6 linked regions of the Kluyveromyces lactis genome follow. The protein of the gene in region 4 interacts with the protein of the main gene of each other region in a biochemical or structural test. Links are inferred from orthologs where the notes say so. Each region holds a gene or a part of one and is shown on either strand. Other genes may lie near its edges. The genes, in order: TAF4, TAF1, STH1, INO2, SNF2 and SWI1.

Region 1 (4,008 bases), on a different chromosome or scaffold from region 4:
GGCAAAATATCCCATTGACACCATTGCTGCAAACTGAGCGGGAAATCGATGTTATCTTTGCTTTGGATAACAGTGCAGACACGGATCAATCTTGGCCTGACGGATTTTCATTGACTCAGACTTACGCTCGTCAATTTGGTCTGCAAGGGAAAGGCATTGCCTTCCCTTATGTTCCAGATGTGAACACTTTCACCAATCTTGGATTAAATACAAGACCTACCTTCTTTGGGTGCGATGCAAGAAATTTGACTGATCTAGAATCAATTCCACCTTTAGTAGTTTATATGCCAAACACAAGGGAGTCCTTCAACAGTAACACATCTACGTTTAAAATGTCGTACTCCACTTCCGAAAGGTTTAAGATGATCCAAAACGGTTTCGAAGCTGTCACCATGAAAAATCTCACTAAAGATGAGAACTTTATGGGGTGTATCTCATGCGCCATATTGAGACGGAAACAAGAATCACTAAATTATACACTTCCATCTGAATGTGATGCTTGTTTCGAAAAATACTGCTGGAATGGAACTGTCGATGCCACCACCCCTATCTCAAGCACTACATCCTCCTCTGCAAGTTCCACCTCAACATCTGATTCCGGCAATAAAGAAAATAGTGCCAGAATTTTGGCCCCAAGAAGTACGCTATCTTTGTTGATTGGAGGTTTAGCTAGTGTCTTCATCTCTTTCTAGTTTACCCATGAGTATCAAACTAAAACCAAAAAAATATATATGCATTGAGTTTTCAGATGTTCATGCAGATTCGTTCTTATGAATTCGTCATTGTACCTCCTTCGTTTCCAATTTCTCTAGATGATCTCCTTTGACCAATGACCAAATCATTGACAAGACTGGAGTATATAAAAGTATCTTGATATGATTCGTTAAAAAGTAATATAATAGATACAAACGATAAATGGTACCGAATTGCGTCGATCATTAGTGTACTTATTAAAGCGTCGTGTGAAGTAATGGTTTAATAAACTCTATTTTTTTTAAACTTTATTTGTCTCTGACGTGATTTTGAGTATTTAGATACTAAAAAATGAAAACTATCTTTAAATATTAAATATGCGACATGTCAGGTAGAAAAGGAAAAGTAATCTCGCATGCAAGTATGAGTCTCTATGTTATTTATCGAAAGGTTTATATTATATAAGTATGCATACTACAGAACATCTCGGAAACTCATATTATTCCTCAAAGTAACTGGAAATGCTAGTCTCTGATTCTAGCATATCCTTTAGTGATAACATTATTAACTCCTACTCGCCTATTTTCTAAAGCTAAAAGAAGGTCCCTCATAACGATGCCAGGTTCTTCTCTTGCTTCTCTATATTTGATACCCATTTCACCCCTTGCTGCAACAGCAGATGAAACATTTCCCTGATTTTTTAGGTCTGTCGAGCTGGACTTGGATCCAGCGGTCAACCAACTATATTTTTTTTTGTTACCCCCTGCAATCATCAAATTGGCAGTTGCATTTGATGCACGATATTGAGTCTCTTCAGTATCTAACCTAGCATCCGTTGTTTGTTTTTCTAAACCGAGTGCTATTCTTCTCTGTACTCTTCTTTCTTCTTGAGTCTTTTGTCTTAATGCTAAATCCCTCAAAGAACGACTCACTTCACTCCTCCTTCCCGTGTTTAGTTTAACACCTTTCCGTCTATGTATGGATAGGATTAAAGAGTTCGTTATCACGTCCCTCATGTAAAGTTCACATGCAGTAGACATTAATCCGAGTATATCAGTGTTTTTATTGAAATCTTGATGAAAGTTTTGTTCTGATGCAATTCTTTTCATGAAATCTGAAATGTTCTTAGGATGTAGGAATGGAGGATGAGATGGGACCTGGTTATTTGCTGAAATACCGGTTGCTTTTGTTCTAGCAACTGTGCTACTTAGCAATGCCTCTTCCTCTCTTATATCAACACCGGCCGATAACAAAGCATCACTAAGCTTGTCTGGATCACTTTGCTGTGGTTTTGTAGTTGAGGCAGTCGTACTACCTGTTGAACCCCCGGCATTCTTCTTCTGTTCTGCTTTCTGTGATTGTTTGCTTGTCGTACTCGTCGTCTTCAAATTTGGCGTACTTGAGTTTCGCGGAGATGCTAGGTTTGTAGTTGGAGATGATGCTTTAGGTAGAGCTAATGGCTGTTCTGTAACCATAGTATCGAATGGCGTAGGCAGATCACTGCCAAAATCTGAGCCACTGGGTTCCAGCCCGTTCTCTACTTTGCCAAATTCGAATGATTTGGAACGTTTATTTGAAGATAAATCTTCCGGTTCAGAATTCTTTCTCTTGGGCGATTTTGCCATCGTATTTTATACTAATTAGACCAATAGTGATAGTTTTCTCTGGTGAAACACGGGGGTAAAAAGAATCGTATTGGATACTTGAGGACACCTATTGCACTTGTCCCAAAAATGCAGGCAAATAAACTATGAAAAGAATAAGTCAATCTTTAAAAACAGGTCCAAATGCGGCCTATCAATTAAAATCCAGTTTCAGCGAAAAACGTACAACCTTAATGATTTCAACAAAGATAAAAAAACGTGCGAGTATTAAACATTATGCTAAAAAGTTCTATCTAGTTCCTACCTCTTTCTTCATTTAGATGCTATTGTTTGCTGGCTTTGATTTTTTCAAGATTGAAAGATCACATAATCCGGGTAACGAAGCTCATTTCTTTTCCTTGCAAAAAATTTGTCAAAAGCGTATCTCATCTCATCTCATCGCCTAACTGAACATACAACACAAAACCAATATCGAAAGGTTTCAGTTAACTTCCATCAACCATTCCATTAGCGTCCGATAGAAGGTCACTTTCTGTATTAAAAACTCTAAAGAGATTTATCAGGAAATTTATTCCTCACGAAGTAGGACAGACAAACAGACAAATTGGACATGTCATCCTCTTCCAGATACGTAACCTTTGAAGGTTCACGGAACTTTCGTTTACGAGTAGTAATGGCTACATTGTCAGGAAAAGCTATAAAGATAGAAAAGATACGTTCTGATGACCTAAATCCGGGTTTAAAAGATTACGAAGTCTCTTTTCTAAGATTGATGGAAGCGGTAACGAATGGTAGTTCAATAGAAATTTCATACACTGGTACCACCGTCATCTTCAGACCAGGAATAATTACTGGTGGTTCATACACACATCAATGTCCGAACAGTAAACCTGTGGGCTATTTTGCCGAGCCAATGTTGTATTTAGCCCCCTTCTCAAAGAAGAAATTCTCAATCCTATTCCGTGGTATAACATCTTCACATAATGATGCTGGAATAGATGCGATAAAATGGGGGTTGATGCCGATTATGGAAAAATTTGGCGTCAGGGAATGTGCATTACATACTTTGAAGAGAGGTTCACCTCCTTTAGGTGGTGGTGAAGTACACCTTGTTGTGGATTCATTGATTGCACAACCGATTACAATGCACGCCTTGGATAAAACAATGATTTCAAGTATAAGAGGTGTTTCATACTCCACAAGAGTCAGTCCCTCCCTTGTAAATAGAATGATTGATGGTGCGAAAAAAGTTCTTAAATCTGCTAGTTGTGAAGTAAATATAACTGCAGATGTATGGAGAGGTGAAAACTCAGGTAAAAGTCCAGGTTGGGGTCTAACGCTCGTAGCAGAGAACAAACAAGGATGGAGAATCTTTTCTGAAGCTATCGGTGACGCTGGGGATGTTCCAGAAGATATTGGTGCATCCGTAGCCTATCATCTACTTGAAGAAATAAGCAAAAGTGGAGTTGTTGGAAGAAACCAGTTGCCACTTACAATTTTATACATGATCATCGGTAAAGAAGATATCGGAAGACTCAGAATCACTAAGGATCAAATAGATGAAAGATTTGTATGGCTCTTACGGGATATCAAGAAAGTTTTCGGTACAGAAATACTCTTGAAGCCAGTGGATGATAACACTACGGATCTAATCGCAACAATCAAGGGTATTGGATTCACAAACACCAATAAGAAAATCGCATAATTGACA
Region 2 (5,371 bases), on a different chromosome or scaffold from region 4:
TCCACAAGTTGCACATCTACGAGTCGTGTTCTTGGATTTGGAAACCTTACCATCTTTAGTCTTTTCTCTGGCAGCTTTACGAGCTTGTCTTCTTTCTTTAGATTTTTCCAATTTAGCCAATTGTTCTTCCAATAGTTTCTTTTGCTTCAATTGCCTTTCCTCTTCGTTCTCACCGCCAACAATGGTTATGTTATCGTTGATCAATTCATCAAGACCCAAATTACGCTCCGCCTCTTCACGCCTCTTTTCATACGCACGTAAGTAACCTTGAATGACCCTAGGGTCTCTGACTATAACAGTTTGTCGTTGAATGATACCGTTGGAATCTCTCTTCTTTCTAGTAATCCGTAACACTTTCTCGTCAGGTCTTGTCGAGGGAACATGCTTATTACTTTCATTAACGATATCTGGATCATCCATTTCTTCAAAGGGATTTTGAATGCTTAAAGACTTGGCTTGGTTATACCACGTCCTACTTATTTCTTCTTCATATGCTTTCTGTTGTTGCGCGACATTGTAACTATGACCACCAGCAATTTGCGGTTGATCCTTTGAACCGGATTTTACAAACCCACCCTTCATAGAGGTTTTCAAAAACGAAAAACCTTCACCACAACCAGTAGGATCACCAGGTCCATGTATTTGAATCATTGCTCTCATCTGTGTAGCATTCAAGAAATTCTTGGTAGCATTCCAAAATATTAAGTTCTCCTCCAACTCCTTAGCTCTTTCATCGAAGTTGTAGAAATCAATATCTTCCTGGAACTGTTGACCATAATACATGGATTCAACGAGTGAAACATCTTCAGGAGTAACCATTTTCTTCACGTTTTCGTTATCCAGTAAAACTTCTCCCTCCTTTAGTTTCCAGAAACCTTGATCATCACCTTCACGTTGATACTTCATGAATTCCTTTAATCTTTGTCTGTTTTGCATATCATTTTGTTCTGGGAAATGACGAGCCACCTGTTTCACTAACAGTCTGTTTTCCGGAGATTTGTTCAAAATACGATACACAACCATCCTCAAACGGTTCTTACCCATAGCAGTAACCTTTCTAGAATTCGGACCAGGAACTTCGACCACTGGGAACGTTTGACCGACAGCAAAGAGATGATTAATTTGACGCAAATAGAATCTGTTACCGGACCCATTACCAAGACTTTTCACCAGAAGGAAATCGGTCTTAGAGACCTCATGTTTGAAAACGGGGGCTCTGACCATATTGTTATATAAAGTGGGAACAATGTTTCCTGGACTGACGAAACCAAAATTCCAAAATGGTGATTTATCCTGCACACCTAATACATGAGTCTCACCAACGGGTAATTTTGGTCTGGAGCTGTCTGTTTCTCCCGTCTTTCTATAATAATTGATAAGCTTGTTAGCCATACCAAATTTAGATAACGCAACAGGTTGCTGTTCACTGTATTCCATCAGGAACACTTGAGCACTGTCACCAACAGTCAAGTCCGCAGAATGTTGGAAAATTTCGTGCACATCCTTACCTTTATCCTTCTTTCTCTTACGGGTCTTTATCTTACTGAACACTATGTTGGTACCAGGACGAATCCGTTTCCCGAAATGATTTCTATGAAAGTGTCTCAACTGATCTTTTGGTAACACAACTTTGTAGAATGGAGATTGTAGGCGCGTCGCCGGTTGAGAATGTTCTATATTCAAATTCGAAATTGTAGATCTGATCTTTTTTTGATAGTTCTTTTTCAAAATCTTGTAAGTGTCATCGTTAGAGATGTTGAACTTTGCTAGTAGAGATTTCTCATTATATGGTATTAGAGGTTTAACGACCTTTTGTGCCGATTCGATTTTATTCTCATTAGGCAAAATAAGTAATCGCTCATCATTCATATCAATTGGCGGTTCTTTAGCACTCACCTTACCATTTATGATATCATCTTCGTTCCATTCCCAGTCTTTCCCATCTTCTTCTAAAGTGTTCTCAACTGCTGGCGGATTCCTCTTGTTACTCGTCATTGGCTCCTCATTTTCTCTATCGTCAACAATTTTCTCATAATCCCATTCATCAGCTACAATGAGAAGATCTTCCGGTATCACTTCATCGTGCTCATCTTTCTTGTCATCTACAGTATCTTCTTTATATATCTCATCGTATGCTACTTTGATAACATTTCTTCGTTGAACTTCAGAGAACTCGCTTATAGCACTTTGCCAAGGCTTTACGCTTTTACTCCTCATCTTGAACAATTTTTTTGTATCCTTTTGAACTTGAAACTTCACTTTAATGGGTATGAGAGGTTTTAAAATTCTGTTTCGAAGGTATAACTCCCTTTGCCATTGATACTTCGCCAACGGTTTTGGAGCTATCTTGGTCATTCTTAGGACTCTACCCGGCTTTAGCTCAGGGAAATAAGACTGAAATAATAACTGTTCTTCCTTCGCATTTTGTTCCTCTTGTTTCCTTCGCTGTTCCTCCATTAACCTCCTGTGTTGCTCATCATATTCGTTAAATTGGTGTTGTTCTGGACCAAATGACTGATATGTGCTCTCCATGAACAATGCATTATTACCTTGTACTTCAAATCCAGCAGCGTCAACTTCATGCATCACATCACCATGGTCCATCAGAGTCATATATTCGTCGTCTTCAGTCAGACTCCGCTGAAACGACCCTTCATTATGCCTGTTCGGAGAATGGGATGGCTCTTCTTCCTCCGGTAATTCTTCATCTGCCAATTCATCTTCATCTTCAAAATCAATAGCATTCGGCAGATGCTCTGTTTCATCTTGCTTACCATTGCCGCCACCACTAGTATAATTACTAATATCTAATGCCCCAAACTCACCACCAAATAGAGCGTTATACGCATCATCTTCATTGCTGAAATCCTTCTTTGCCTTGCCTTGTTTCTTGCTTCCTGAGCTTCCAGCAACCCTAGGCATTTCGCAAAAATGGGTGTATTATGACTGGAATCAGATTAGAATTCTGTTATTGACAGAAATATTGGCTCACAGAGTTGAATGAACCTATTTAACCACCCTTTTTATGACTTCGAGCACTCTTTACTGAAATGTACATATCAGCTCTTCAACTTTGTTTAGATTTTGATATTGAGGGATCAATCCAGAGACCGGGTAACGTAATTTCAGTGCAATCCATGTAACATAAACCACTATCATGGCCCAGATTGGCCACTTCACTCGAATTAACAAGGTTATATGCAATGTGTAGCATGCACTCATCTCATTTACTGGCTTTTCGTTTCAATAAGTGGTTCGCTGACCTATTAATCGACCATTTTATCCCATTTAAGGTCAATTTTTGTTGATAATTCTGCCAACATGAAATTAAAGCCAAACATCAAGAGCTTAAAGCTTAACAGTGCGAGCAGAGATCTAAAGGTACAATGCGACAATCTTTTAGGTGTTAGATCGACTAACTCGGCCAATTATTTCAGCAAATTTACACACTGAGCCATATACTTAACAGAAAGTGAGAATGTCTTTGATAAGTAGGGCAAATCGTCTTGGAGGTTTCACGACCGATGCAAAGCATTGGGAATACGAATGGTCCACTACTGCTAAACAAAATGAAAATGGTACTGATGAGAAGGTAAAATATAAGTTCAAGCAATGGGTAAAAAAAGATCATCCTTTGAGAGATGTAGTTGAGGATGATACAGATGTTCTTAACTTAGATGAATTTGATAGGACGAAGATAGCTAAGAAAAATGCTCGTGTCCAGGAGAAAAGTGGCCCAGATTCACTCTCAATTAACGATATAAGAGGAGCTGTTGGTGGTTCTGACATTCCTGGGTTCTCAGGATCGGATGCTAAGAAAGAAGCCGAGAGTGAAGCTGCTGTTGAAACTCCTGTGGTTGAAACTCCAGCGGAAGAAACTCCGGCTGAAGATACACCGGCAGAGGTAAAAGACCAAGAAGGCGACGTAAAGATGGAATGATTCATTATATAACGATTACACCTATATACTGTAATTTTACTACGATTCATGGAATCCAGAATGTGGCCTGGACGCCCACTCTCGAATAAGATAAAGACAGTCCTTCATCCAAAGGAGGGCAAGCAGGAAAAACCATCACCGCTTTTGTTCTCCACATAGGACGTATGTGTGCGTTTGAGACATTACTATATAAAACTATTGGCTTTCATTATTCACGTTGTTGGTTTTGATAGTCATAAATGAGATGGCATCGCGAGCGGTTTTAATCGAAGCCTGTATTTCTGCTTCACGTTTGGATTTTTCCACTGCACGGTCTTCCTTATCAAGTTTGTTCAACTCACTCATTATTTTGATCCATTCTCTTGTATCACCAGTACCTGAACAGATTAGTAGCATAGCTGATGAAGGTAGATTTTCATAGATCTTTGTAATTCTTTTCCCCATGTTTTCCAATGCTAGCTCCTCAGTTAGAACTTCAGTGTCACGGTTATTGCATGCGGCAAATTCACGAGCATATTCTAGCTCTCTGAGTCTTCCGACGAAAAGGTTATGTTCATTGATGTGCTCGCATATTTCATCAGCAACCATCTGGTCGTCTTTACATCTAACATGCACTTCATGATTTTCAATCTTAAGTACATTGCTTTGCTTTGAAGCTGAATCGTTTAAAATCATAGAAGATATTCCATTTCGTGAAAGCCTATGGAAAAGGTTTTCTGTATTAAAACCAATGCCAAACGTCAATCCGTTTACGATCTTCAGCTTGGTCAGTTCCATGCATGTTTTAGCGTCTTCATAAGAATCATGGCCCAAGCCTGTATCTTTTTGAATATCAACATTCAAATATTCCGAGGCCAAATACCTTAGGGCTGGTCTGAATGGAGGACCTGCTTTGTGCTCGTAAATAACTGCCGTGTCAACGATATTGGGATGTCTTAGCTTTAAAACGTTAAGGTCCGACTGCAACGAATGTCCAATTAATACATCCTTTGAGCTAATGATATTGAGAAGATCCTCCTGTACATCCTTCAATGTAGTAGTAACGTCGCGTAGTTTTTCTTCGGTTATTCCGCTGTACTTGGTCAAATAATCTATAATTGGAACATCAGGCTTCACCAATTTATCATAAATGAGATCACCGTCGAAATTTACAATACTGCATCGGGTTAGAACATGTCCGTTTTCTGACATACACATTTCACAATCTATTGCAAATGTTCGAGGGCCATCACGGTCAATAGTCTTGGTGTCCGTCCACTCTGAATAATAAGGGGACGAGTATAATTTTTCCAATGTTTCCTTGAACTCTTCTATTAGACCTGGTGAATCCAAGTGAATTGGATAATCATTTTCTATCAAATCATCGATACTCATTAACAAATCACTCATGACTACTTTCTTTTTCGATAGTTGCAGTCTTTTTCTTTCCTT
Region 3 (5,329 bases), about 1.4 Mb from region 4:
CTTTGACGTTTTTCACGAGCAGCTCTTTGACGTTCAATGGTTTCATCTAAGTCCTCATCATTATCGACAGCTTGTAACCATTGTTCCTCTGTTAAACCATCATCGTAATAGACTCTCTTTCTTTCTCTGATTCTGCCAATAGCAGCAGGCTCAACATTCAAATGGTCAGTGATATCTTCAGTGAATACTGAAGGTAACTCTTCCTTGGTGATCAACCTCGGCAGTGGCTTTCTCAAACCTAAATCGATGGCTTCTCTCTTCTCATTAGCTACACGTTCTTCATCAATCTTTTTGAACAGCACTTTCTCGTCTTCAGTACGTGCGAGAATTTCATTTAATTCTTCGTCGTCTAATTCACCAGAATATTCATCGTCTTTGTTAGTATCACCTTCCAATAATCTACGCAAAAATTCTTCTTGTTCTTCAGCAGTAGATTTATTGTCAAATTTACCGGCTTGAATAACTTTACCATCAATATCCAATTTTTGCATTGCTCTCTCTAGAATAACTTCTTCGACGGAATCGGTTGTTATTAATCTCAAAATACGAACTTCGTTCTTCTGCCCAATTCTGTGAGCTCTATCTTGGGCTTGTAAATCCTGATGAGGATTCCAATCAGTATCGAAAATAATGACCGTATCAGCAGTCTGCAAATTTAGACCTAACCCACCAGCTCTGGTAGAAAGTAAAAAGCAGAAGTACTCAGAATCGGGTGCATTAAACAGTTTTAACATTCCAGTTCTATCCTCTGCTTTGGTACCACCATCCAATCTCATATATTTAAGGTCTCGCATCCTTAAGAAATCTTCCATGATATCCATAACTTGAGTCATCTGGAAAAACATCAATACTCTATGACCTGACGCTTTAAATTTTGGAAGAACTCGGTCTAGAAGTTCAAATTTACCACTAACACGATACAAAATGGAGCTGTTCTCTCTCGTTGGGTTGATAACATTTTCAACCTCATCGAAAACGAATGGATGATTACATATCTTCCTTAACTGCATGACCTTGTTGTTCAAACCTTTGATACCAGCCTTGGTTGCACCTTCTGTTCCTGCACCAATAAAGAAAGCATTATGTTTTAACATTTGTTCGTATAGTTGCTGCTGGAGACTTGATAGCTTACATTTCACAACCTTCTCAACTTTGTCAGGTAAATCTTTTTCGACTTCCTTCTTCAAACGACGTAACAAAAATGGACGTAAAACTTTGTGCAATCTTCTAATAACTAGAAGCGTTTCTTCTTCTGTCATTTCTAGCTTTTCTTGAGTACCTGTGTTCGCGAATGGTGTATTAAACCATTCGTCAAATGTTTTTGAGGAATTAAAGATCTTAGGTAAAACAAAATTTAATAGAGCCCACAATTCTGGTAGATTATTTTGCAATGGAGTACCCGTTAAAATTAGCCTATTTTTTGTTTTGTAGTAATGTGTCAACGTGTAAGATAGTTTTGATTGAGCGTTTTTCATTCTATGACCTTCATCGATAATCATATGAGCCCAATCGTGTTTGGCCAACAGTGGACGATCCTTTATAATGTACTCATAAGTAGTTAGAACCACGTCGAAATTTCCCATTTTGATTGTATGTTGCAAAGCCTTACGTTGGTTTGGGTTCCCTTTGTACACAATGGTTCTTAGAGAAGGTGCCCATTTTTCGAATTCTATAGTCCAGTTCGTGATGGTGGATAAAGGGACAATCACCAAAAATGGTTGCCTCTCGTTCTTTATTTCATAAAGATAACTGATCAACGAGATGGATTGAATTGTTTTACCTAGACCCATTTCATCTGCGAGAATACCGTTAAGATGATTATTGTATAGAGACACCATCCACTCTAAACCCTTTAGTTGATACTCTTTCAACGTGCCTCCAACCAATATGCTTGGCTGTTTGTCTACTGTTTCCTTAATTCTGTGGGAAACCTCGTAATAATCAATTTTTTCTCTTTCTTCATCCGTGATTGGAGGAATTTCTTCACCCCTTTTGATGCGTACCTCATTTTGCTGCACTCTAACCGCTTGAGCAAGAGAATCCAAGAAAGAATTAGTTTGTTTCAATAGATGTGTAATTCTTGTATCTTTGGTTTGGTCTAACAATTTCAAATATGCTTCTTCATCATTGGACTTCAAGGCTGCTAAACGTTGCTTGGCAGTTCTTTCCATTCTTCTCTGCTCATCTTTCTCCAAATGACCATGCAAGTTTCCGATAGATCTACCCATTTGATAACAGCGATCACGTTGTGTTGTATCATTCTCCAATCTTTCGTTGATACTTGATACAATATTATTGATCCTTTGTAACCGTAAGTTTCTTTCTCTTCTCCTGCTTTCTACCAATTCCTGCCTTTCAAGTTCTTCTGCTAATCTAGCAGTTTGTGGAACGATGGTCTTCGGTCTAACATGAATGGATCTTTGAGCTGCTAAAGTATAAGGAGAGTCACGGAGAGATGGAATGATATTATGCGATTTAGCTGCAACACTTTCAATCAGCCTCTTTCTCAAAGATTTCTGTTTCGTTAGCATTTTCAAGGACTTGAGCTCCACCAAAGCTCTTAACTTGAAGTCGTCTGCGCCGGTAGGAATATCATCTTTAGTTACAAAATCAAGCGCATCATTTAAAGAATATGTTCCCAAATTAGAGGGTAGATTTTCAAGTTGTTTAATTCTTTTCGCAATGAGTGTGGAGATTATTTTTTCAACCTCCCAATCTCCAAGCGAGGCTTCATTTCCAGATTTAAGACGAAAGTTGCTTAAAGCTTCGGGAAGGCCTAAGCGCACACTTGTTTCGTCGAAATCAACAGAAAGTTTAACCTTCTCCAGTTGTACCGAGATATCAGAACTGTCGGAACTTACTGATTCATCATCATCATCCTCTAAGAGGCCATCCGGTATATTTATATCTTTACTCAAAAGCTGTAAGCTTACCATTTGCTCCTTCAACAACTTTTCGTCCCACTGAATATCTTTGGCTGCGTTTTCTCTTAACCTCAGCAGCCTTTCCTTGTACTCTTCCTGTTTATCCGAGATTTGGGTGAAAATTTGTTCAATAGCCTCAACTTCAAGCTTATTATGATCTCTATATTGAGAAATGTATCTGTAACGATAAATCAAATTTTCTAATTGTTCTTTCGTTTCAGGTAGTGGCAAGATTACTCTTTCCACCTTCTTCATTTCTTCTAGAACAGCGGCAATCTGGTTCTGTCCAATAGCACTACCACTGTCGTTCCGAAAATTGTTGTTGCTTCCTTTGTCAGCACCAACATGGTTGTCTTCGATATTGCCGTTAACGTCCTGGTTTTCAGTTTCGGAATTCCCATTATCAACATTCTCAGAATTCACTATAGGAAGCGGATAAGGAGGCGCTGTATCCGCGTTATTCGTTACGACGACTTGATCCATTGTTGTTTTATTTCACACTTCTTAACGTGATCCAGGTCTCTTCCCGCTAGTGAGCTTTAAACCTTTTTTATTCTGAAAGGGGGTAAAACAATAACTGAAGTCCTGCTAAAAAAATTCAGAGTTGTCACAAAGCTAACGCGATACAAACAGGTACTATTGCCCTAGAATTCTTTACTGTTTCGCTTTCGGTGCGTCTATTTTTTTAGCCGCCGTTGCCGTGTTGAAAACAAACCTCTGTTCGTCCTTTTCTCGTGTCAAAACTAAATTCAGAATAAAATCAAACTGTTTTCAAATTCATCCTCTTTTTCACAATTTTATTTATCGTGTTTACTTTTTTCTTTGACATTCACTATTGCCATGGGCCAAAGTACGGGTAACAACAACAAGAACCGGGTAATAAACCAACTTCGATCACGTGCCAAAATATTCGCATTAAAGTGGGCACCATTGTTTCTTTTCTTGTTTAATATTTCATGACCTAAAATGAAAATTTGGATAATACGCCATGGATGAGATGAGATGAGATTAGATGAGATGTGATGAGAGTGAACTATCAAGTTCCCCGATTGAGATAGTTACAGTGCTTCGAACTGTTACAAAAGTGTCTTCTGTATTGACAATCAAGGTTTGAAGAACTAAAATTCTCTGATTATAATGTCATCTCTTGCAGCTGCTCATGCTACCAACGCTGTGAACGCATTGTTGCAAAGCGTACTGCCGGGTTCTGCGTCGGTTAATGCAGAAAGAAAGAAAACAAGCCGAGACAAAGGCTCGAAAGCACAACTAATAGATAGGAACTTGAAGAAAAGAGTAGAGGTACAAGAAAAGGATGTATACCGGATCAAAAAGAGGGAGAAGAAAATGTTGAGAAAGAAGATATCTGGAAGAAAAGAAGTCCAAGAGGATATAGAACAGAAGGCTAAGCTACAAGTACTAAGAAAGCATCAAGTAGATAATTCTCTTACGGATCATGAGAAATCCTATTTGGATAAAGTGGTGAAGAAAAATGTTCGCAACCTGAAAAGTTGGGATTATGACGATAAGGAAGAACTGTTAGATTTACAGAAACAAATACTTGCCAACTCAGAAGATTCAAAGAAGGTAAGGAAGGTAAAATCTAGGAGACAAAAGAAGAAACAGTTCAAGGAGAAGCTACCACAATCGATACAAGACCACAGATATAAAGCTCTCACACCTGGATTGGCTCCAGTTGGTGCGAGCGATGAGGAGGAATCAGAAGACGAAGATGAAGATTATTGAGCTCATATTTACAAAGACGTACAGGTACGGAGTTTTCATTGCGGCTCATACAAAGGTGTGTTTTTTTCTCTCAGCATATGATCAAATACTCAGTAGACTCAAGTGTTCATTGTCGGTTCATATATATTAATTAAGTATATTCATTATTTGAAGGAAGTAGAACTACTCAAATGGTACCTGTCCTAATTCCAAATATGCCTGTTTTGTGTCTATGCATTGTTTGCGCACTCTACGCTTCGAGTCATCTAAACCAATTTGAAGTTTTGATATAATTTCATTCTTCATGGGGATCAAGTAGTTAAGGGGAACACTGGTTGTTAAAGTCTGAAGAATTTCTAATGACAGAAATCTTACGTTCACGTTACTATATTTCGATGGGACCAATAAGTTAAGTAACAGCGGAACTAACGAATGGACATGTTCAGTAACCAACTGAGACATTTGATTCACAGTATTTTTTAGTGTCTCTAGAGATGATATTCTGACTTCGATATTCTCTAGTTCAAGAGCCTGAAGAAGAAGAGGTAACAAGTCCGTGATATACGATATGGTGATATTTGATGGAGTATTCTTTAAAACTAAAGAAACTGCGGTAAGATAATTCGATTTAATGGTCATATTATCAGAAGATTTGAAGGCGTTTACCATTTTTTGTGCAATGT
Region 4 (4,062 bases):
ATCGATCGACTTCCCACGTTCTTTATTCCTAAAAGGCTTTTTCTCTGTCCAAACAACATCTTCTAAACCATTACCTGTCGTTAGATACAAGATTATTAGTACGTTGAAAAAGTTAAACATCGAATTTACAGAAGTAAAAGGCGGTTTTATCTGCTGTCACAGACAATCTTACGTATCTCAAGAGCAGCCTCCAAACCACGGTAGGCATCCTTCTATTGTTATTAATGAAACTTCTTCATTGGAATCAAACAGCTCAACAGCAAACTCCCATAGAAAACAATTGTCAATACCATCACGTCATGGTTCCATTAGAAGACATGGTTCACTCAAACAACCAGGAATCCCAGCCACACCTCTGGCTGCTGCAACGCATGAACGAAATCTGTCTGTCACTTCGCCACGTACTAGTACTGGGCAAATCCTAGAGGAAGTTTCTACTGCATCCTTCGAAACTCTGAATAATCAAGAGGACATATTGACTAATTCAAAGGCACAAGATATGAATAAAGTTGTTATCGGCAATAAGAATGAAGCAGGTAATAAAGAAAGGCCACCTTTGAAGTTTGAGATACATATCGTTAAGGTCAAGCTTGTTGGCTTGGCTGGTGTCCATTTCAAGAAAGTTTCTGGTAATACATGGATGTATAAGGAATTGGCTACACATATTTTGAAGGAATTAAATTTATAGATTAAAACTGTATACACACTATGTATGCCATAATCATTTCCTAATGCAAGTCTAGTTTATAATGTTACATGCCACTTTTGTCTCATTATGTCATTACATTTTTCTCTATGCAATAACTACGTGAGGAAACCAAACGACTATTCTAAGAAACTCATTTACAAAGTTGTTCAAGCTCCTCATTCGCCAGTAAAAGCAGCTGGATGTCCTGGACGATATAATTTAACAGTGTATGTTTCGTGATTCTTTTCCCTTCCTTCTTCGGGAGTTTGTAGTCAAGGGAGATGATTTCTTTTGATTTCGGCAGATTCTTATGAACTTCAGTCCAAACTGGTCGTGGATATCGTATCATCCCGATCAACTCATCGTATTCTCTTTTGAAAGTGTTTCTTCTTTGTTTCTCTAAATAGACATGTTTCCACCTTCGCAGCTCTGCAGCATCGCTTGAGATATCTTCAGGAATGACGTGTTCAGGAACTTCAACGATAGGAATTTTGGGATCAATTGGCTTGTACTGTTCATATGATTCGAATATTGGAAGAATCATGGGTTCTATCGTAGTAGATTTACCTTTACTACCATTGTCATTTTTTAGAATATCCTTGGAATTTACATTATTGTTTTTTTCTTCATGAGATGGGGATGCCGCAATGGCAATCTTTGTGTCCAGCCTTTCTCCCTGCTTAGTGGTTGACTTATCCTGGAAATGTCTGGATATTGTGGTTTGTAGTTCAGTATGGTCGAAAATATAGGTATGAGGATCAGCTCCCAAATGTTCCGCATTTCGCATAAAATTTTGAGCCAGTTTCGGAGAGAAAAGGGCGGCATTAGAAGCCTTTGACGGTGAGGTAGTTAATAAACTATCCAAAAAGTGCTCAATTGCATGCGACTCGTTCACACTCAACAAACCTTCGTTATGTGAGTTTCCAGAGTGTTCACCAAACGCCCCGAAAGGTGATGAAATGTGGTTTCGGGGAGTCTGCGGTCTGCTACTAGGAACAGAATGGGTGATTTGTGATGCAGCTGGCTTTGTGTCTTTTTCTTCTTGGAAAGCTCTATCTCTATTGACTACTTTGTCAACTTCCTCATCAGTATTAGTATGCTGATCCCCTCCTGTCGAAGCATTCTCTGGAACAACAGTCATATGGTTGAAGAACTGAGAATCATCTACAAGATTCATATGAAATTGATCGTTTGAATCATCCCATAGTTCCGCTTTCTCATTAATTAACTCATAGGCAGTCTCGAAATCTAAACCTTCCAAATCCATGTCCAACAGAGAACCGAGGCCACCTTGGCTTTGAGCTTCCATTGTATTTTCAGAAAATCGGTTAAGATCTGTATTGCTACTGAACACTCCACGCGAATAGTTAAATGTCTAAATGTTTGCCTGCGTCCAAAATACCCTTTTATAATTAGATGGGTACTTTATAAATCTATCAAACGCAACAAATCTAGGTATACTTGTACCTCGAATCTCCATGCACTCATATATCAAACTCCGCAGATCTAATAGTCCAGCTAATAGTCAACGCTGTAATAACTCGATATAGCAACTTATATCACTCAATGGCTATATGTTTTTCTGCAACGCACCTCCAATAATTCATTCACATTACATTGTTGGACCTTACTATAAACTAAGATGTACTCTGTGATGTTTTCCGGTAATCGAGCTTTTCGTCAGTTTCTATTGAAATCCGGACGCTCTGGACATTTTCACATGGAGAGGATTTAAAGTCACGTGTAAGAAGATATCACGTGAACGGGCTTTTCTCGTATATCGTCTATCACTTAGCATCGCGCGAGCTACAAGTATCCACTCATTAGTCGTGATGGAAGTACAGCTCTCTGGCTGTTATAGTAATCAAATATGACAGCCCTGATCTAGCAGTCACGGTATGACTTCGCCTTCGAGAAATGAAATGGTTTTTCTTTGCTCAATGAGAACTGCATTGTTGTGCCGTCTTGCCTCGTTGCAGAAGAAGCAATCCATTTCAACTTGCTGAACTTCTTGTGACCTCTGTTTGAGATTTTCAAGATCTCGTTAAATTCAAGCCCATCTTTTCTTCTATTCCTCTTGATTGTCAACTGATCAAGGCCGTCGTCTAATGACAGGGACCACGAACATATATCTGAGTCTTTTCTTTCAGAACATCTTTCTAAAGAGAAACCAGGTACCACTATATTTGGTTCGTCAGTAGTCAATAATCTAATGCATCTTCCATCTGGATAGAATCTGAAGTACCTGTAATAAGTGATCATGTGGATTGGGTTCAACAGCGAAGATGATCCTTCCGGGATCGATCCGTGCCTCAAATAATTCACCACACTGATATATATTCCATGGAACTTGATATACGGCCGTTCCTTTAGCATCTTTCTATAATTTTGACCCCATACGGTTTCTGCTAGTGCTTGTATATCTGATATACCGTTTAGCCTCATCTCATTTTCGTTGTATACTTGCTTCTTATAGATGTATTCCGCGAAAGTCCGGTACGGTGAGGAATCGTGGAAGCATAGCAAATTAAACTTTTTACAAGTCAAAGATAGGTTCATCCACGAGTCTGCTGAGCTTAACACAACCATGTCTATAATCATGGATAATATATCGTCAGGGAGCATATCCAAAATCCAGCAGGGAAGTTCAACAAGGTCTTCAGTTTGAGAAAGTCCTTCAGTTTCCTCTTTTCTGCCGTCCGGATCAGTTTCCGATGAACCATCAACAATATTGACATTAGAATTGAGCTTAAGCTTTTTCATCTCTTCATTTAACCGCCATTCATCATGCATCTTCTTTCTATATAGTTTCTCAACGTCCGGATTCATCCTTAATGCTTTACGGTAATATTTGATCGCGTCGGTCATAGCACCGGCAGTTTCCTTCGAATAGCCCAACTCCCATAGTGCTATAGCTTCAATCGGTTCCTCCATTACGCGTTGTTATTTTTCGTGCGTTAGGCCCCTTGGTAATGAGTATGCTTCCTCTCTCTTTTACCTTATATAGCCGACTAGCTTTTTATGCTGTTTACGTTTTGTTCAGCTTTACGCAACAGGAACGAATATAAAGTTACTACCGAGAGATGGACAAGTACGCACAATGTTGAAAAATATGAAGTGGATTCCTTGTCAGTAGCTGCCATCCTCAGCAAATCGGATTTCTTGATTCTTATCTGACTAAAAAGTAATATTAAGTACATGGCATATTTAATATATGAAGAGCTATATAACTTCAAAGTTCATTAATATGTGAATATCACAAGAAACACAGTCGATAAATCATAAATAGCCAGTCCTTCAAGATCTGGTGCATCAATGAAAAGCAGGAACTAAAACAAAGTGCAAAGTGTGTAGTGCTGTATAGATGCTGCTTA
Region 5 (5,313 bases), on a different chromosome or scaffold from region 4:
ATCTGCAGTTTGCAAATTTAAACCTAAACCACCAGCTCTTGTAGATAAAAGGAAACAGAAATAATCAGAGTTTGGGGCATTGAAAGTGTTTAATAATGCAGTACGATCATCAGATTTAGTATGACCGTCTAATCTTAAGTATTTCATGTCAAGATATCTCAAGAAATCTTCCATGATATCCATAACTTGCGTCATTTGGAAGAAAATTAGAACTCTATGACCGGTAGCCTTGAACTTTGGTAAAATACGTTCTAGCAGTTCGAATTTACCGGCACTTCTCCAAATGGTATCGTTCGTTTCCCTTGCTGGATTGATTTGATCTTCCACTTCTTCGAATACGAACGGATGATTACAAATCTTCCTGAGTTGCATGATTTGATTGTTAAACCCACGAGAACTAGAGAACTTCTGGTTACTTGAATCATCAAAAATGAATAGCCTACGATGCTTCAACATCTGTTGGTATAATTTGTGTTGTAATGCACTCATCTTACATTTCAAAACCTTTTCTACTTTATCAGGAAGATCTTTTTCAACATCTTTCTTTAAACGACGAAGCAAGAAAGGTCTGAGTACCTTATGTAATCTTCTAATGACCAATAAAGTTTCTTCTTCGCTCAATGCTATCTTGTCTTGACCACCAGTGTTTGCAAACGGTGTATTGAACCATTCATCGAAAGATTTCACAGAATTGAAAATTTTTGGCAAAACGAAGTTTAAAAGGGCCCATAGTTCTGGCAAATTATTCTGTAAAGGGGTACCAGTCAAAATCAAACGATAATCAGAATGATAATATGTGTTCAAAGTTAAAGAAAGCTTAGATTGAGCGTTCTTCATTCTGTGACCCTCATCAATAATTGTGTGAACCCATTTTATCTTAGAAAGTAATGGACGCTCTTTGATAATATATTCGAAGGTTGTTAACACTACATCAAATTCACGATTTTTGATTAACGCTTGTTTAGGTTTACGTTCCATTGGAGGACCCTTGAAAGCTATCTTCCGCAACTTAGGTGCCCATTTATCAAACTCTGCATTCCAGTTGGTCAAAGTGGATAACGGAACAATAACTAAAAATGGACCATGGACCCCCTTAGCTTCGTACAAGTAGGTTAAAAGAGAAATTGTTTGAATAGTTTTACCTAGACCCATTTCGTCTGCTAAGATACCGTTCAAGTGGTTATTGAAAAGAGACACCATCCACTGTAGACCTTTCAATTGATATTCTTTCAAAGTACCACCTACAAGGATGGATGGTTGTTGTTTCACTTCTTCCTTGATACTATGAGCAACTTCATAATAATCGATTCTCTCACGTTCCAAGTCATCATCAGAGTCTGCTCCGTTTTTATCACCCACGTTGTCTTCGCTAAGTTCCTGAGTGTCAAGGTGAGATTCGATCTTATCTTTAGTGAAAGACTGTTGATCCTTAACAGCTTTGGTTAAAGAATCCAAGAAAGTGTTAGTCTGTTTCAACAAATGCGTAATTCTTGTGTCCTTTGTCTGATCCAACAACTTAATATATGCTTCTTCATCGTTAGCTTTCAATGCTTGCAAACGTTGTTTGGCATTTCTTTCAATTCTTTTCAATTCTTCTTTTTCCAAGTTCGTGTGTAAGTTTATCAACCTGTGACCTAACTTAACACGCTGAGCTTTTTTATCTATTCTCAAATCATGTATCGATTTACAACGGTCCAAGATTGAATTCAATTTAGAAGATTTTTCAAGTTGTTGTTTTTCGTACTGTTGTAATTCTCGTGATTTAAACAATTCTCTAGTCAACAAAGCATCTTGAATGTTTAAACCACGATTTTTGGATAAAAAGTTAGGATGAATATTAGTGAGAAGTGTGCTTTGATACCATTCAAATGACAATACATAACCTCTAATAGCTTTTTGTAAAGGAAGTAACTGCATTGCATTATAGTCCATAATCAATTCCCCTTTATCCTTTACTTGAGAATCTGATTCTAATAGTTGTTGCAAACAAAAATCCAGTGATGTATCTAAATCCAAAGCGATGAGAGTTTGGTAAGTTTCCATAGCAGACCTTGGATCCAGACCAACGGGTAACAGACTGGGGGTGATAGAAAGATTTTGTTGGTTAAGAAGATCCGTATAACTAATTGGTGGTACCAACGGTGTGGAGCCTGGAATGCCGCCTTGTTCTGGGTACGAGAAACAATCCACCATAATATGCGGTGAAGCTACGTCGATGTACTTTTCTATATCTTCATGTTGCTTCTTGTATGTGGATAAAAGAGCGGGAGGTTCTTGTTTTGGGGGGTCCTGGTCCGGAATAGGAGGAGAAATAGGGCGCGAAGGTTCCACCATTGGGGACTGAACTGCCATAGGAGTGGGTTCTGACGTCACTATAGGAGAAGCTGGGTTTATATTTGCCGTGGTATTTACCAGTTGAGCAGGCATGTTATTTTGTACAAGTGGTTGCGAAGCTGCTGCTACTGGTGATTCCACCTTACCCTTTTTGGGTTGACGAACCTTCTGTACTGGTTTCTTCACGCCTTGGCGTACCTGAGGCGAAAGCTTCTGCTGCGGTACATTATTCTGTTGTTGTTGTTGTTGTTGTTGTTGTTGTACTGGAGGTTGCATCTGCTGGCCAGCATTATGAGCTTGTAAATCGGCACTCAACGCCAGTAGAATGGATTTGAAATCCAGTAAATTGGTCAAAGACCGATCAATGACCATCATAATCTCTGGTGGTACGACCATGTGGTTAGCCATCATCTTAAGAGATTGGATCTGTGCCTTCAACAAGAGCGACTGTTCATCTGTGAACAAAGACCGTGATGATGACGCGTTATTATTATTATTATTATTATTAGAATTAGAATTAGAATTAGAATTGGTGCTAGCTGGCGTATTCACTCCTACTGTTAGACCAGAAGCCGGCGCGATCGGCTGAGGTCCTACCTGTGGTGACATATGTGGTGGTGGTACCGCTGTTGCTGCTACAGGGCCCATACCATTACTGCCAGGGGTATAAGCAGACGGAGTCGGTATGTTATTCGGCGAAGCCGAACTAGCTGCTGCTGCTGTTGTTGCATTCTGCAATTGCTGCTGCTGCTGTTGTTGTTGTTGTTGTTGTTGTCGCTGCTGCTGTTGTCTGGCAGCCATCCTCAACACAGCCGTATAGTACTGGTACTCCTTCATAGACTCGACATTCGCACCATGTTCGTTACGAAGCTGCTGCCACCGCAGGTAGCAACGATTAATCTCTTCACGCGTATATTCCCTCCTGGGAGGACTGAACTCTAAATCCATTGCCAAAACAGGCCTATCGCAACACTAATACTAATACTATTACCAGTAATAAAAACGCTTGTCACTAGCAAAGAGAGCAAAGCAATTCTTAATTCAAGCCGAAGCTAAAGGATAAACAAAAAACAGAAAAAGTACTGCTTAGCCGCCGACGATATGGCACTGCAGACTATCCGAAAAGTAAAATACCAACCGAAGGAAGTTACCTTAAACACACGCAAAGCCTGTATGCACAACGGTTCTGTTGTTTTCTGTGTTTATTTCCCTTCTCCGTTTCCGTTTACTAAAGTTATTTTGTTTATGTTTTACAGCGTAACACAAAAAAAAATTTTTTTTTTGTGTAAATTATTCGCTTTTGTAATCATGCTTTCTGTGTGAATTTTGACTGGCACTGGGGCTTAAAACATGGGTTTAAAGCACACTTTAAGGCAAGTTTAAGACATACGTTTGAGGCGTTAAGAGTATGTCGGGATGGAACTGGACAATAGCTGCGGAATATACAAGATGACGTGCTGCATGTGTGTATATAAGATACATAGATATGGATATACATTTTAGGGATGTGCGCAGTACATGCAAGTGTACAGTGGAATCTGATATGGATTGAATGGATATAGTGACAGACCCCCCCCCCCCCCATCCCATTCGTCTTGTGAGAAATTAAGTGAAACAAGAAAGGCACAGAGAGTGAATTAGAGACTGAGGTAAGACTAAGTATGACTTGCTGCTATGCTGATTCTGTGCCGGGCCTTAGATGCATAGGAAGTAACGTGTGGATACCTCTTTTTTTTATTTCTGCTTATTCTTTCTTTCCACCGATTCTATCACTTCTCTGTTCTATTTCTACATCATTTGTTGCCCTGTGCAACTAGGCTTTTGATTTCTGATCGTTCACTAGTGCAGGCAGTAGTGTGACTAGTAGAGTAGATTAAATACTCATTCTCCGTCTCTCTCGGAACTGAACACATCGGTAGGGGGGTTTTTGCTATGTTACGTTATATGTTATGTAGCTGTACCAGATAGGAAATGGAAGAGAAGGAAGGGGAAATTGGAAATTAGAGAATGGTCTTTGAAAAGAAAAGCTGCCTTTCTCTGTGTTAATCTCATGTTCTATGTATGTGTACGAGGTTATTTGCCCCACTCATTTGGCAAAAGCTAATTCCAATTTTTTTTTTTTACGTTGACAAGATACATGACCGTATTTGATTGCGGAATTAGACGGGATCAAAACTGGTTAGTTAAGTAATCAATTCTGTTCTATTCTCTATCAATCCGACAGTAGTACTTTTTTTTCCTAATTACCATATCATAAGATGTCGAGGTGAAATTAAGTTGTGCTTCTCTTTCTCTCTCTCTTTTTTTTTTTTTTTTTTTTCTTTTGCGACCACCAGGAACGGTTCTAAAACAGGACTTAGTTAACCCATTATAATTCGGGTATTTTCCCTCATTCCCATTCTGTGATTCTTAACTCTCTATAAATGTTATGTCTTCACTGGGTCAATCATTGGGCTTTGGCTCTTCTTTTGCGCAATTCACCTTTTTGAGATGTACATGGCAGGGCCTTTTTCTTTCAGCCGCTCTGTAGGCAGTAAAAAGAAACGGCGAAGTGAGGTGCCTCTTAACACCTGCTGCCTCTTTCCCTTTGTGTGCCGTCGTCAAGAGGCTTCGGCAAACGAGAAGAGGTTCGCATTCGTAATTTTCCTCTTGTTGTTGCCCCGTGTTTCCCATTGATCTCCATCCATTACTTCCTTGCCTGTCTTGATTCTTGTTTCTACTTCCCTTTAAAGAATTTAAAAAAAAAAAAAATGCTTCTAGATAAATTCAGTTATACATTCAGATTACACAACTCATTCACGCATTCGTTCAGGCATTCAGTCATATCGTTCACCCTTGTAGAGCATGGGAAGCTGTAATGCTATTCCAAACTCAGATAACATGCTAAATCATCACGTATCTCTTATTGTCTCTTCGGGTATTGATTTTTTTTCTGTTTTTGTTTTTCTTTTAGTGGTTTCTTTTCTCTCAGTTCAAACC
Region 6 (5,415 bases), on a different chromosome or scaffold from region 4:
AATGATAAAAGAGAAAATGTCATTAAACAACTTGAATTTTTCGTCCCCGTTATACAAATCTAAAACCTGCTGGCATATGTCATCATCGTCATTTTCTTCAGTGAAAACACCAGTTAATACTGACTTAAAATGTGCTCTATTTGGGTAACCAAGAGAAAGAAGTTTAGCCAAGACGTCCGCACCGTATGTCTGACATTTTTCAACATTCATGGTGTACTCTGCATATGTCAAGACGCTATTCTCTTGAATATGATCTTTCGGATCAGCGAAGCTCAACGCTAGCATTATGATTAACAAACAAGTTACTGTTGATTCAATTTTCAACATATGTGTAATATTAGATAGAATAAAAATCAAATCCTTCTTGAAGTTTAAAACCCTGCGCTCAAAAATAAACTCATCTCTATGAATGAAAACCATCCAAAGAGTATCTGCAATATATTTTTCCATGTGGTAATTATTAGCCATTACCTGTGAATTCTGTTCGTTAAATGAAAGATTTCTCAAGATCATTGAAATTGTTGTCAATTGGTCAACAATCAACAAGTGCGGATCCTCTGCTCCAGAACGGTGACACTTGCTAAAGATGGATCCGACTTCCGTTTTGACTTTAGTTAGAGAATCCATATATGAAATGAAATGTAGCTTTTTGATTTCATCGAGATTTTCGTCTTTCAACAAATCAGGTAAGTATTCAATATCATTCTCATCTTCGTCCTTCTCCAGTGAGACTTCAGGTAATGTCGCATCGACTTCTATTTCTGGTTCCGTCGGTGTGATCGGAAGTTGAGAAAAATCTATACCAGTTAAAGAGTCTACCTTTACTGTATATTCAGATTGATCTTCTCCAGATTTTTTGACGCTTTCCTTGAAAATTTTATCAATATGAGTATCAGAGGAATCCGAATGTTTGGGAGGCGTATTAATCCACTGCTGTTCATCATATTCAGTATAAGACCCTGATATCCTTGAATAATCCTTCTTCAATAGTTTATGCAGTAACTGACACGCCAAGATACAGAGGTTATCCAAAAGCTCACGACATTTATCGAGTGGAATTGATAAAGTGTTATCGGAGCTAATAACTAATAATGAGTTTAGTGCGGTATTGACTTCCGGGTTATTAGAACTTTGTAACTGCATTGCAATTGCATTGATATTGACGACACCAAACTCCGGCGCAAAGAGGAAGATGGGTTTAAAATTATGTATCATCTCACCAAGAGCTGAAATCTTTGAAATATCATACCCATTTTGCGTGGTGATGGCTCTTGTGGTGGGACTATAATGCCTGGCCATCGTTCTCTTATACACCTTCGGAAGCTTCTTAATTTGCTCTTCACGACGTTTCAAAATAATTTCCTGTTGTTTCTTCAATTGTTGTTCGAATATGAGCTTTTGCTGCTGCTGTTGTTGCTCCGCTTCTTGTTGTTGACGCTTTTGCAGCTCTTCCATTTGTTTTCTTTCCTGTTCTAGTTCTTTCTTAGTCTTCTTCTTCACTCTTGGCTTCTTAGGCTGTTTAGGTTTTGCTTGTTTTGGGACGGTGTTCTTTGTTTTGCCTTGAGCCTTAGGAATCTGTTGTTGCTTCATTTGTAAATCCGGTTGTATTACGTTTTGACCCTGCATAAAAGACTGATTTTGCACCTGCGGTTGGAACTGCGGTGTATTCGTTCTAATGTTTCTTATAATGTCCTGAAGTAATTGCTGTAACATGATACGATTGGTTTGAGTTTCTTTAATACCTTCTGGGGTCATCAAGTACTTTTCGTACGGTAGTAAATATCTGTAGTACGTCTTTGCCAATTCTTCTCCAGCATTTGGTCCTTGTATATTCATCTTTTTCGCCAATATGTGCCATTGTTGTGCTTTAGTGACGTTTTCTCCTCCGTTAAGCTTCTGAACATACATGTATAAGATGAAGAAACTGACCTGGGTACCATTAATCATTTGAGCAATATCTGCGGGTTGATTCTTTCTCCTGCAATGTTCCAAAAATGATTTTCTAAATAGTTCAAACTGTTTGGTGTTTAATTCCTGACCGACTTTCCGTTGAATGGCTGGATCTAGATTTTGTAGAACGTTTCTTTGGTTATTAGACTGATTCTGTACTTGAGGCGCATGTTGTTGCATTCTCGCCTGTGCTTGCGCTTGTGCTTGTATGTGCGCTTGAGCTTGGGCTTGAGCTTGAGCCTGTGCTTGTGCTTGTGCTTGGGCTTGAGCTTGAGCTTGTGCTTGAGCCTGTGCCTGCGCTTGAGCCTGTGCTTGTTGCTGCTGTTGTCTTAGTTTCTGCTGCTGTAATTGGTTGAATGCCTGCTGTTGTTGCAACATCTGTAGCTTTTGTTGCTGTTGCTGTTGCCTCTGTTGATGCGCAGCAATTATTGCGGCTCTATCCATATACTGAGGGCTCTGTCTACTAGCACTCGCCTGAGCTAAAGACTCATCGGCCATTGTAGGGGATCCACTTGGCACATTTTGCGGCGTTCCACGCTGCGATAACATCTGCTGTAAAGAAGTAGTGCCGGCGGGAGACTGCGTCGGTGCTACATTGGCTGTATTCATAGGAATTGGTCCTGCGGCTGGAGAAAACATGGATTGTGGAGAGATAGAGACTCCACCGTTCTTCATCGACGGAGGTGAATTGACAGTTGAGAATGAATTTCTAGCCAATATAGCCTGGGGCGTTACGCCTGCGTTAACATCTTCCATCGGCCCTAAATTACTATCAGGTATACCTTGCTGGTTGGGTGCGCCTGAGTTATCAAGGAAGGAAAGGTACTCATCACCGTTCGAACCTCCTTGACCGAAAAGCTGGCCATCGCCAGAATTCATTGGATCACTCTCGTCCGGGAACAAAAACTGATCGTCCATCCGTATGTACCAATAAAGTTACCGTTTGACCCTTGATATCAGGGGAGAGAAATCACGCCTAAATAAAACCTAAAACAAGGGAATTATATTCATTCTGAAAGTAGTGATAGTCAAGTGTCAATTGAATTCATTGAATACAATTTCGAGTTTCCTTTCGTTGTTTTGTTTTTGGAAAGACAAGAAAATTCCAGGTCACGTGATTTTGTCAATTATTCTATATCCGGGTAATACATTCGATCACGTGTATAACTTACCCGGCCGCGGCCGGGTAAGTAAAATATATTTCCCATTCTGCTTTTCTTTTTCAAGCTCATCGCTCTTTTTTTTTTGTTTGGAAAATTTTCATTTCGAAGCCAATAAAGAGAGATGAGCTTTCTGACCAGTGAATATATTGTATATTGTGTTATGTGCACAGCGATATTTCAATTAATACTTGTCTGTATTATCTTGAGTTTTGTTCATTCATTCCGAAGTTAGTGTGTGTTGAAGAGTCCAGATCAAAGAGATTTTACGGTAGCGAGGAAACTTTATTGATCAGAGAATTAAATAATGGCTCCTATTGAATATCTTTTGTTCGAAGAACCTACCGGGTATGGTATCTTCAAAGTGAAATTGCAACAGGATGATATCGGATCTCGTTTGAAGGAAGTCCAGCAACAGATCAATGATTTCGGCTCTTTCACTAAGTTAGTTGAGTTGGTTTCTTTTGCTCCTTTCAAAGGTGCTGCTCAAGCTTTGGAAAATGCTAATGATATTTCTGAAGGTTTAGTCTCTGAACATTTGAAAGCTTTGTTGGATTTAAATTTACCAAAGGGTTCTTCTAAGAAGACTGTTACTTTGGCTATTTCTGATAAGAACTTAGGTCCATCCATTAAAGAAGTTTTTCCATTTGTTGATTGTATTTCTAATGAGTTAGCTCAGGATTTGATTCGTGGTGTTAGATTACACGGTGACAAATTATTGAAAGATTTACAACCTGGTGATTTGGAAAGAGCTCAACTTGGTTTGGGTCATGCTTACTCTCGTGCTAAGGTTAAGTTCTCTGTTCAGAAAAACGATAACCATATCATTCAAGCCATTGCTCTCTTGGATCAATTGGATAAGGATATCAACACTTTTGCCATGAGAGTGAAGGAATGGTACGGTTGGCATTTCCCAGAGTTGGCAAAGTTAGTCCCAGACAATTACAAGTTTGCTAAACTCGTTCTATTCATTAAGGATAAGGCATCTTTGAACGAAGAATCCTTGCACGATTTATCGGAAATTTTGGATAACGATGCTGGTATCAGTGAAAGAGTGATCGATAACGCTCGTATCTCTATGGGTCAAGATCTTTCTGAAACTGATATGGAAAACGTTACCATCTTCGCTAAGAGAGTTGTCTCCCTTGTTGAATACAGGAAACAATTATACGATTACCTATGTGAGAAGATGCACACTGTGGCTCCAAACTTGTCCGAATTGATCGGTGAAGTTATCGGTGCTAGATTGATCTCTCATTCTGGTTCTTTGACCAATCTTTCTAAGCAAGCTGCCTCTACTGTCCAAATCTTGGGTGCTGAAAAGGCATTGTTCAGAGCTTTGAAGACTAAAGGTAACACACCAAAGTATGGTTTGATTTACCACAGTGGTTTCATCGCTAAAGCTAGTGCTAAGAACAAGGGTAGAATCTCTAGATATTTGGCTAACAAATGTTCTATGGCTTCTAGAATCGATAATTACTCCGATGAACCATCTAACGTTTTCGGTCAAGTGCTAAAGAAACAAGTTGAACAAAGATTGGAATTCTATGCTTCTGGTACCCCAACTTTGAAGAATGAATCTGCTATCAAGGAAGCCATCGAATTGTACAATAAAGATAAGCCAGCTCACGAAGAAGAAGTGGATACGACTGAAGTCTCCAAGAAGAGAAAGCTAGAAGAATCTAACGATGAAGAAGACTCTGAACAAGAAGAGAAGAAGGAAAAGAAGTCTAAGAAGGACAAGAAGGACAAGAAGGACAAGAAGGAAAAGAAGGAAAAGAAGGAAAAGAAAGAGAAGAAAGAGAAGAAGGATAAGAAGGAAAAGAAGAGTAAGAAAAATAAGGATTAGGTTGTGTCAACTTTTCAATCATTTTCCGAAGATTGATCGACTTTATTATTATTTTTTTTCATCATATTTCAGTTTAAACTCGTCACTTTACATTTAACTTTTCACTTTTACATTATTAAGTCATTCCGGTTTCTCATAATTATAAAGCTCTTAATTGCACCTTTAACGCTCCTACTTGTATCCTAAGACAATAAGGAAAACCTCGTGTCTACAAACATGCAACTCATCATTTAACCATTGTTACATATTACATCTGTATATCACCCAAATCATATTTTAATTAGAATACTAGACAATTATCGTCACTAAAAAACAGAACGGGTGTAATCCCAATATTTGATTAAAGACACGTTAAATATATAACCCGCCTTGAGTTGTGGTACATTCGTCAAGTTTCCAAAGCTTTAAGCATTCCGATACATAGTACTCTGTCTGTGACGGGTACGAGCAAAGTAA

Evidence for each region.
Region 1: the proteins of INO2 (region 4) and TAF4 form a complex in vitro, tested with the Saccharomyces cerevisiae proteins (2 studies listed by BioGRID). The link is inferred for Kluyveromyces lactis from reciprocal best matches to the Saccharomyces cerevisiae genes INO2 and TAF4.
Region 2: the proteins of INO2 (region 4) and TAF1 form a complex in vitro, tested with the Saccharomyces cerevisiae proteins (2 studies listed by BioGRID). The link is inferred for Kluyveromyces lactis from reciprocal best matches to the Saccharomyces cerevisiae genes INO2 and TAF1.
Region 3: the proteins of INO2 (region 4) and STH1 form a complex in vitro, tested with the Saccharomyces cerevisiae proteins (2 studies listed by BioGRID). The link is inferred for Kluyveromyces lactis from reciprocal best matches to the Saccharomyces cerevisiae genes INO2 and STH1.
Region 5: the proteins of INO2 (region 4) and SNF2 form a complex in vitro, tested with the Saccharomyces cerevisiae proteins (2 studies listed by BioGRID). The link is inferred for Kluyveromyces lactis from reciprocal best matches to the Saccharomyces cerevisiae genes INO2 and SNF2.
Region 6: the proteins of INO2 (region 4) and SWI1 form a complex in vitro, tested with the Saccharomyces cerevisiae proteins (2 studies listed by BioGRID). The link is inferred for Kluyveromyces lactis from reciprocal best matches to the Saccharomyces cerevisiae genes INO2 and SWI1.

Annotation. Positions count from the first base shown.
Region 1 is NC_006039.1:525,999-530,006, forward strand, and holds TAF4 (Taf4p), read right to left. Parts: upstream 2,319-4,008; coding exon 1,218-2,318; downstream 1-1,217. Other genes in the region: PLB3 (lysophospholipase), read left to right, coding at 1-692; RCL1 (rRNA-processing endoribonuclease), read left to right, coding at 2,908-4,002. UniProt on the Saccharomyces cerevisiae protein: Functions as a component of the DNA-binding general transcription factor complex TFIID. Binding of TFIID to a promoter (with or without TATA element) is the initial step in pre-initiation complex (PIC) formation.
Region 2 is NC_006037.1:879,332-884,702, forward strand, and holds the start of TAF1 (histone acetyltransferase), read right to left. Parts: upstream 2,923-5,371; coding exon 1-2,922. Other genes in the region: RTT102 (Rtt102p), read left to right, coding at 3,479-3,940; RNH70 (Rnh70p), read right to left, coding at 4,136-5,371. UniProt on the Saccharomyces cerevisiae protein: Functions as a component of the DNA-binding general transcription factor complex TFIID. Binding of TFIID to a promoter (with or without TATA element) is the initial step in pre-initiation complex (PIC) formation.
Region 3 is NC_006042.1:436,277-441,605, forward strand, and holds the start of STH1 (RSC chromatin remodeling complex ATPase subunit STH1), read right to left. Parts: upstream 3,408-5,329; coding exon 1-3,407. Other genes in the region: RRT14 (Rrt14p), read left to right, coding at 4,062-4,667; MET18 (Met18p), read right to left, coding at 4,830-5,329. UniProt on the Saccharomyces cerevisiae protein: Catalytic component of the chromatin structure-remodeling complex (RSC), which is involved in transcription regulation and nucleosome positioning. RSC is responsible for the transfer of a histone octamer from a nucleosome core particle to naked DNA.
Region 4 is NC_006042.1:1,810,890-1,814,951, forward strand, and holds INO2 (Ino2p), read right to left. Parts: upstream 1,998-4,062; coding exon 840-1,997; downstream 1-839. Other genes in the region: serine/threonine protein kinase KIN2, read left to right, coding at 1-688; SCF ubiquitin ligase complex subunit HRT3, read right to left, coding at 2,573-3,622; CHA4 (Cha4p), read right to left, coding at 4,060-4,062. UniProt on the Saccharomyces cerevisiae protein: Positive regulatory factor required for depression of the coregulated phospholipid biosynthetic enzymes. Also involved in the expression of ITR1.
Region 5 is NC_006038.1:740,174-745,486, reverse strand, and holds the start of SNF2 (SWI/SNF catalytic subunit SNF2), read right to left. Parts: upstream 3,283-5,313; coding exon 1-3,282. Other genes in the region: TATA-binding protein-associated factor TAF7, read right to left, coding at 5,313-5,313. UniProt on the Saccharomyces cerevisiae protein: Involved in transcriptional activation. Catalytic component of the SWI/SNF complex, an ATP-dependent chromatin-remodeling complex, which is required for the positive and negative regulation of gene expression of a large number of genes.
Region 6 is NC_006040.1:1,041,660-1,047,074, forward strand, and holds the start of SWI1 (Swi1p), read right to left. Parts: upstream 2,869-5,415; coding exon 1-2,868. Other genes in the region: snoRNP complex protein NOP56, read left to right, coding at 3,418-4,959; PBA1 (Pba1p), read right to left, coding at 5,311-5,415. UniProt on the Saccharomyces cerevisiae protein: Involved in transcriptional activation. Component of the SWI/SNF complex, an ATP-dependent chromatin remodeling complex, which is required for the positive and negative regulation of gene expression of a large number of genes.